Rattus norvegicus: one gene and its partner. The protein of the gene in region 1 interacts with the protein of each later gene in a pairwise test. Links are inferred from orthologs where the notes say so. Each region holds a gene or a part of one and is shown on either strand. Other genes may lie near its edges.

What was found.
Region 2: the proteins of Tnni3 (region 1) and Tnnc2 interact in binary tests that used the Homo sapiens proteins (3 or more experiments, as listed by UniProt). The two-hybrid records come from large-scale screens. The link is inferred for Rattus norvegicus from reciprocal best matches to the Homo sapiens genes TNNI3 and TNNC2.

Annotation. Positions count from the first base shown.
Region 1 is NC_086019.1:78,341,375-78,345,387, reverse strand, and holds the start of Tnni3 (troponin I, cardiac muscle), read right to left. Parts: upstream 2,818-4,013; 5' UTR 2,714-2,817; coding exon 2,703-2,713; exon of another isoform or gene 2,598-2,702; coding exon of another isoform or gene 2,557-2,597; intron 2,443-2,556; coding exon 2,430-2,442; intron 2,261-2,429; coding exon 2,174-2,260; intron 2,087-2,173; exon of another isoform or gene 1,922-2,086; coding exon of another isoform or gene 1,868-1,921; intron 1,763-1,867; coding exon 1,721-1,762; intron 1,429-1,720; coding exon 1,297-1,428; intron 861-1,296; coding exon 771-860; intron 305-770; coding exon 128-304; intron 1-127. Other genes in the region: Dnaaf3 (dynein axonemal assembly factor 3), read right to left, coding at 3,688-4,013. UniProt on the Homo sapiens protein: Troponin I is the inhibitory subunit of troponin, the thin filament regulatory complex which confers calcium-sensitivity to striated muscle actomyosin ATPase activity.
Region 2 is NC_086021.1:173,932,517-173,936,546, forward strand, and holds Tnnc2 (troponin C, skeletal muscle), read right to left. Parts: upstream 2,824-4,030; 5' UTR 2,731-2,823; coding exon 2,728-2,730; intron 1,319-2,727; coding exon 1,267-1,318; intron 1,175-1,266; coding exon 1,031-1,174; intron 936-1,030; coding exon 821-935; intron 699-820; coding exon 562-698; intron 267-561; coding exon 235-266; 3' UTR 95-234; downstream 1-94. UniProt on the Homo sapiens protein: Troponin is the central regulatory protein of striated muscle contraction. Tn consists of three components: Tn-I which is the inhibitor of actomyosin ATPase, Tn-T which contains the binding site for tropomyosin and Tn-C.

The DNA.
Region 1 (4,013 bases):
TGAGTTCTTGAGTTCCCTTTATCCGTAGCTTCTCACTAGAACCCCAAATGTGTCTGCTCTCTGTCTGGACCTTATGGCCACTCAGACCTTCCCAAGCATCTTCCTTCTTACCCTAGCCCACACTCACCTTCTCAATGTCCTCCTTCTTCACCTGCTTGAGGTGGGCCCTCAGGTCCAAGGATTCCTTGGCCCGGGTCCCCAGTAGTGCCTGCATCATGGCATCTGCTGAGATTCTCACTCTTCGGAGAGTGGGCCGCTTAAACTTGCCACGCAGGTCATAGATCTTCTGGGTCAGATCTGCAATCTGGGAACCACCATATGGGGCAAGGAGACCGCGTCTTCCCTCTGCTTCCTCCCTACCCATAGCTTCTAACAAACAATTCCCCCTTATCCCTATCTTGCTCTCAGTATCTAAGCTTCCTCCTCTCTTCCAGCTCTGACTCCAGATTAAAGGCTCCAATCTGCAACTTTGTGCTCTTCCTGATACTCCGAGTCCCATCAATCAAAGCCTCTAACACGACCTGGCCCAATGATGTGCAGATCATTATTCCCAGAGCCCAACTCAGTGCTCAGTTTCTACAGACCGATTTAAGCCACCCAGGTTCTACCTTGCACGTGTTGTCTCTCTGTGGGAACAGCTGCCTTTGCCACTGCCTGCCTTCTGCTTAGAGTTGTCTAAAGTACACACAGACATAGCCCTCAGTCTGAAGCTACAGTCCTGGACATCTCGGTCTACAGTGAAGGTGCTCAGACTTCCCCAGGCTTCCCACCTCAGTGATGTTCTTGGTGACTTTTGCTTCCACGTCGTATCTCTCTTCATCCACTTTGTCCACACGAGCGTGAAGCTGCCGGCATAGGTCCTGGTGAAGGAATGCATGGGCGTTGAGAGGAAGGCTGGAGACTCAGGTCTCTGATCTGAGAAAGGAGACCTCCCGGTCTGAGGAAGGAGGCCTAGGCTCTGGACCCCTGAGTTTGAGAGAGGAGTGCTGGGGTCTGGACTCCTGAGTCTGAAGAAGGAGGGGGTGAAAGGAAGCTGACACTGGAATCCGCACTCTAGGGAACTTAAAAAAAAAAATGGCCAGGAGCCAAGAATTCTGAGACTTAGCAGACAAAGGCAGGAAAAATACACTGGATTTTGAATTGTAAGACTGAATGTATAGCTTGGCATAAGGATTGCAGATCCTGAGCAGAACTGGGGATGGTTCTTGTGCTCCTGATACCCAAGAGATGCCAGGGCCGAGATGAGAAACATCGGGACCCAGGCTCATCAGGAATTCCTGCTTGGTAAACTGATACCTGAAGCTCTTCAAAGCCCAGCCCATCCAACACCAAGGGCTGGCAACGCGTGCTCAGAACGCGGCCCTTCTCTCCACGTCGCTCCTCTGCCTCACGCTCCATCTCCTGCTTCGCAATCTGCAGCATCAGAGTCTGCGGAATGGTGGGAGCCGAAAACAGGGTCCCCGAAAGTATAAGAATAACAAATTTCCCTCTATCTCGCTATCTTCCAGAGAGACAGAATATCCAAACATCCAAGTTTGTGTCTTTTATTAAAAAAAAAAAACCTTCCCCGTTTCTGTGTTCTGTGCACGCGCACGTGTGTGTGTGTGTGTGTGTGTGTGTGTGTGTGTGTGTGTGTGTAGGGGGACTGACGCACTCCGAAACGAAACCACTCCCCAAAAGCTCCGCCCACCAAGGCCCACCCCTCCGAGCTCTTCATCACCTTCAACTGAAGTTTTCTGGAGGCGGAGATCTTAGACTTTTTCTGCCAGGGTGATAGGGAGAAAGGTCAGTGAGAGGTCCCAAAGTGGACATTGGGCGGGGCTGCAAGGCACCACCACCCACTCAAGTGCATAACCATTCGGCTCACCCATTCTTCAACCAGAATGCTGAGTCCACTGGAAGCCACGTCCTTCGGTCCCATCCACCAATCTTTGTCTCTGACTAGAGCTACACACTGCCTATCTATCCACTGCTAATCACCGTGCTCACGCCTATGCCTTGCTGTAGGCAGAGGAGTTTCTCCCACAGGCAGCTGTCACCAACCCCAACCTGTACCTCTTTGAAATTCTGCCCCACCCATCGGGCTCCACCCCTTTCCAAGGCCTTGGTGCCGCCCCTGGGGTCCCAGAGGATTCTGAACCCAGAAGTACCGTCCTCTAGGACCCCTCCCCACCTTGGCATGTGGCTCGGTGGCATAGGCTCGGTAGTTGGCCGAGGAGCGACGTCGGACAGGAGCAGGCGCCGGCTGGGGTTCCCCAGCCTGAAATTGAAGCAGGCTACATTACTACCCCAACCCTCCCATCCAGTCCTTCCCGGATTCCTCACCTCTAGCTGCAGATTCCCCTGCCCATCGGTCCCCAGTCCTCTCCCTGCAGCACCCTCTCTGGGCCACGGGTTCCCTACCCCACTTCTTAGGTCACAGTGCTCACCGCATCGCTGCTCCTGAAGGGAGAGAAACCGTGAAGATAGAATCATTGACAGCAGTCCTCCTGAACAAGGTTGGGGCTACCTTTTCTACTCCCTTAGACCCCAGGAGTCTGATTCCCGAATTCTTACCTCATTTCTACAGAAATCCAACCACCCTTGCCTCCTACCATCTCAGGACAAGAATTCAACCTAGTTGCACCCTCACAAGGACCCTGAAGGCTGACTGCACCGTGTTCCTTGGGGTCTCCAGTTCAAGGTTACCAAGGTTCACATACTCATCCGCCATGCTGATCTCCAGAGGTAGAGAATGGGATTGCAGATTCCTGGAGGGTCTTAGAAGGGTGTCCCTGGTGACCTTGGAGGGTTGGGTCCCCTCTGTGCTGCTCAAGCCTCACTGAGGACACTGAGATAAGGGGCGAGGACAAAGACTAAATATACTGCTGTCTCCTCCCCTTCCCAGGATGAGCGATAACAGGGTGTGAGGGGAGCCGTGTGCAAAGCTCCAGTTAGACCAACCAAGGTGCCCGGATCTACACCCCTCCTCCTTTTGACTCTGGGCCCCAGCTCCCTTCTCCTTTAGACTCAGGAAAACCCAGTAGCAAGGTCCCTCTTCTCTCAAATCCAAGAGTCCAGACTTCAGTTTCCTGTGTAGATTACCCAAAAATCCAGGCCTTCCTTCTTTCCTCACATGTAGGTTCCTCACTAAAATGTAGTCTTTCTGTGACTTTTCTCTCCATGTTTCTGTCAGTTTCACTGCCCTTAGCATGTTTAGTTTAAAGGTTCATGTGCAGGACCCTAAGTCCTCAGCCTACACTGATGTGAAATTCAGCCAAGTCCACTTGGAAACCCACCATCCGGGGCCCATCCCCCCTTGTCCCACCCCCTTCTTGGCACTGGAGACCAACAGAGGACAGGACACACAGAGGTGACCCTGCGCTCTTTATTTGAACCGCATCCAAGGGAGGATATGTCCTTGTCCCTCCAACAGTAGCATGTCAAGAAAGGCCCAAGGCAAAAGAGGATGTGGAGCCCAGGGTTGTACCTCTGGCCTGGGATTCTTGTCAGGATAAATCTTAGATTATGATCTAAGACACACACACCCCAAAAAAGACTAGAACTGAGAGTTCAAGGAAAGGAATTTGAAATTCTAGTTATATCACTGGGGTTGAGAAGGAACGCAGAGTAAAACAGTGGGCTGAGCTGGTGTCAGTCCTGGAGCCTGCTTCAGCAGTTAAAGGTAGGATTCTTGGTCCCCGCGGTTCATGTTACATGTTTTAGAGGTGCAATCGCCGAGGACATTGCCAAAGCTTCCTGGACTGGACTTATCACTTCCGGAGGAGGGGCCAGGTCTGCTTGGGGAGGACTGATTGCTTCTAGAGGCAGGACTACCTCAGCCTGAAGTGGGCTCATCGCCTCTAGAGGTGGAATCTGGTCAGCTCTGGGTGGGCTCATCGCCTCTAGAGATGTGGCCTGGTCAGCCTGGGATAAGCTAATTGCTTCTAGAGAAGGGGTCTGGTCAGCCCGGGTTGGGCTCATCAATTCTAGAGATGGGGACTGGCCAGCCTGGGGTGGGCTCATTTCCTCTA
Region 2 (4,030 bases), on another chromosome or scaffold:
ATACCCAGCGGCTCCGGGGGACGCTCTGTGCGTCAATCCAGCCAGGCAATCCCTAAGATCCTTTGCCCTCAATCAGTCCCCTGGTCAGTCAGGCCAGCTTTACATTGTCTGCTTTTATTCCTTCCAGCCACAGAGCCCAAAGGAGCAGCCTTTCCCTGGTAGGGCAAGGAGGCAAGGATGGAGTTGCCCACGCCCAGGGGACCTGCAGTCTGGATGAACACGAAGACCAGCTCCTTACTGAACGCCCTCCATCATCTTCAGAAACTCTGCGGAGAAAGAGTGGGATGATGTCAGGCGTACCGCTCAGGGCGCAGAGGGGTGCCTAGTCTTTAATGGGGACATTGCACTAAGCTGCGGAACATCCTAAGGGGCCCCCCTAGAGAGTGGGAGGAAACTTAGCCTAAGCCCAGCCCCACCCACAAAGCCAAGAGCCCCAGCCACAAAGCCAAGAGCCCCAGCCACAAAGCCAAGAGCCCCAGCCACAAAGCCAAGAGCCCCAGCCACAAAGCCAAGAGCCCCACCCACAAAACCAAGAGTCCCACCCACAAAGCTAGCCCTCACCGTCGAAGTCAATGCGGCCATCGTTGTTCTTATCACCATCCTTCATCAGGGATTCGATCTCCTCGTCTGTCACATGCTCCCCAGAAGCCCGGAAAATCTCAGCCAGCTCCTCGGCATCAATGTAACCGTCTGCGTTCCTTTGGGAGAGAGGAACAGAACAGGACACAGGGTCAGCCTCACCCTGGCCAGCCTGCCCCTTCGCTTCAGGCCCGCAGGCTCCATCTGCTCCCAAGTCCGGAATCCCAGAAGCCCCACGCACCTGTCAAAGATGCGGAAACACTCAGCCAGTTCCTCTTCGCTCTTCCCTTTCGCATCCTCTTTCATCTGGCGCACCATCATGACCAAGAACTCTTCAAAGTCGATGGTACCGCTGCCTGCAAGGAGCAAAGCGGGGGCGGGGCGGGAGGTGTTAGCCCAGTGTGTGCTGAGCCTTTCCTCCCCGTCCCTGCCTTGGGGGAGCCCAGCTCACCATCCTCGTCCACCTCCTCGATGATGGCGTCCAGTTCCTCTTTGGTGGGTGTCTGCCCTAGCATCCTCATCACGGTACCCAGCTCTTTAACGCTGATGTCCCCACCACCATCAGCATCAAACATGTCAAAGGCAGCCTTGAACTCTAGCGGGGATGAGACGGAAGAAGCGATGGGTGAGGCCAGTTGGATGGTCAACTTTACACCTAATCTCCCCCAACGGCCCACCCTCACTCACCAGCGATCATCTCCTCGCTGAGGTAGGACCTGGCCTCAGCCTGTTGGTCCGTCTATAGGAAACAGAGAGAATCAGAGCGTGGAAGGGCAGACTCTCACCCCAGCTTCAGCTTCCCCAGCCCTCTCTTATATTAGGAAGTGCCCCACCCCCCAGGTCCTCCAGAGCCACTCCAAAGCTAGCTGCACCTCCCAGGTACCCTTGGTGACCATCCCCAGTGCAAAGGGGACATTGGTTATACCCACAGTTTCCCATTTATCTTCGGAGAGCCACATCAAGAAACCCCCATCCCAGCAGTGACTTTTGGCAAGTCACCCTTCTTGTGACTTTGCTGGGATAATAGGACATCGGGGGTAAGAGAGGGCTTGAATGTGTTAGCACTATTCAAGTGTGATTTTCTGATGTCCCTGTCTTCTAATGCTGCCTGGGACTTGACTAGCTGGTCAATAAGTATTTGTCCTCAACTAAATAGCAGAATGCAAAGCCACAGAACATCTACCAAGCACTCGGACGCTGAGACCACAAGAAGAGATGGGCAGCTTTGTGTCAGAGGGTTCTCGGGGGCAAAACTTCTCACTAGGTCATCGGGGTAAACACCTCTCTCACTGTCAAATGTGATGGGGCCATGCGTTGGTGTGAAAATAAGACACCTCTGTTCTGTTACGACGTCCTGGTTTGGGTGTTTAGATAGTCTTGCTGTGTAGCTCGGGTTGGCCTGGAGCTCCACATGTAACCATGAAAGTAAGGTTTCTGTGAATTTTTTCCAGGCCACTCTGGGTCAGGGCTTTGGACTCGAGGTGGTGAGGAAGGGGTGAGTCCCAAGACATTCTTTAGCCAGCTGGCCCAGTTCCTCCTCCCTCCTCCGTCCCTTGGCCTGATCCAGGAGGATAGGCTATTTTTAGTTGGGCATTGTCAATGGCAGCTGGTCTCTGGAGTCCAATTACTCCTTCAAGTGAAGCGGGAGGGTACTCAGAAGAAAGTGGCAGCCCCAGATCAGGGCTCCTCTGTGGATGGTCAGGGTCTCTACCTCTACCCTGTCACCCAGCCCTACTAACCACCATCCTCTCCTCGGGATTCTTAGAGGAAACCTTCCTTCTCTGGTTGCCACAGGCTTGGCTGGGCCCATGGAACCTACTCTGTCTGCCTTGCTGGGAGACTTTTCTGCTTTCATGGTCTCCGTCTCTCCTAGGGAGCAGACAGGCTAAGACCCTTCCCACACAGCTCTGGGTACCCAATAACATTGTCCCAAGCCTCAAGGTGGCCAGGAAGTCATAGCCTTGAGGATCAACTCCTGGACTATCCTGACCCCCTCCCCCAGCCTTCCCAGGATGTCTCCACAGGACTTGGGTTCCAACAACCCTTATCTTCTACCTTCAGGCACCCACATTACTGCCCACAGAGCACACAGTTCTAGGACTGAAAGAGGCCTGTGGACAAAAGCGTGAAGACCCTTCTTGTCCTTACCATGGTTGCTGGTGACTGGGACTCCTCTGCTGTGGGTCCTCTCCTCCGCACTCCACCACCCAAAGGTGCCCCAGATCTCTCTAGCCTTCAGGATTTGTAGGGGCATCCTCTCTTCCCTCCTCCCTACTCCCCAGAACTGGATACCCTGACCAATCAGGTGCAGGGGGCAGCAAGCCCCTCCCCTCCCAGAGTCCTAGCCCATTACCTAATTTAGCCAGGGTCCTTTGCAGGGAAATTTAAGCTTGGAGCAGGTGGCAGTCTCTGACGTTCTCCTAGATTCTTAGGAGGGGGCCCCCGCCCTGCTCCACTGTCTTAGGGAGCTCCTCCCCCACCCCCAGCACACTTGTTCCAAAATGGGGGAAGGATGTTCAGAACAAGAGCACAGTAGAGTGGAAAGAGGCCAGTCTTGAGGTCCAAAATCCATTCAAGACTCTGTTCTCCCTCTGAGCCATGTGAGTGGGGGCGGGTGGCGAGGGCCCTCCAGGCACATCGTCCTCCAAGACAGAAATGGTAAGCGTGAGCCCAGATGACTAAGACACCTAAGCTTGCGCTGGGTGCCTAGGGTTGGCGTTTGGCCCAAGAAGGGGAAGTGATACGCAGTACTGAGGTAGCGACGTGAACTCCCACAACTTGTCCCCCCACTGGGCTGAGCGTCTTGATTCTGTGATCTCATCTACTCTTCATCCCGTGAAGAGGTAACTATTATTATTCCATCTGCCTAGAGCATAAGTCGTGCATCCACAGAGGAACTCTATTCCCCACTTCGGAGGCCAGATCTCATATATTGAACACTGGCCTCGAACACCTGATGTAGCTAACATTAATCTTGAGGTTCTTTTTTTTTTTTTTTTTAAGATTGTATATCTATTGTATGTATGTGCACTAGACTGTCACTGTCTTCAGACACACCAGAAAAGGACATTGGATTCCATTACAGACGGTTGTGAGCCACCATGTGGTTGCTGGGAGTTGAACTCAGGACCTTAGCGAGAGCAGTCAGTGCTCTTAACCTCTGAGCCGTCTCTCCAGCTCAACCTTGAGGTTCTAATCACCCCTACTTCCACCTCCAGAGTGCTGGGGCTTACAGGCATATACCAAGCCCATTTAAGTCCTTTGATTTATTTTGCAAAAGAGTATTCCCTGTCAACTGAGCTGCCCTTGAACTCCTGGGTTCAGGCGATCCTCTCACCTTAGTCTCCGGAATCACCGAATCACCGAGGCTATAGGCATGCTAGATTAGGGTGCTGGGTGGGAAGTCAAGCCTCGGCTATGTGCGTGCTGCAAAGTACTCTACCCACTGAGC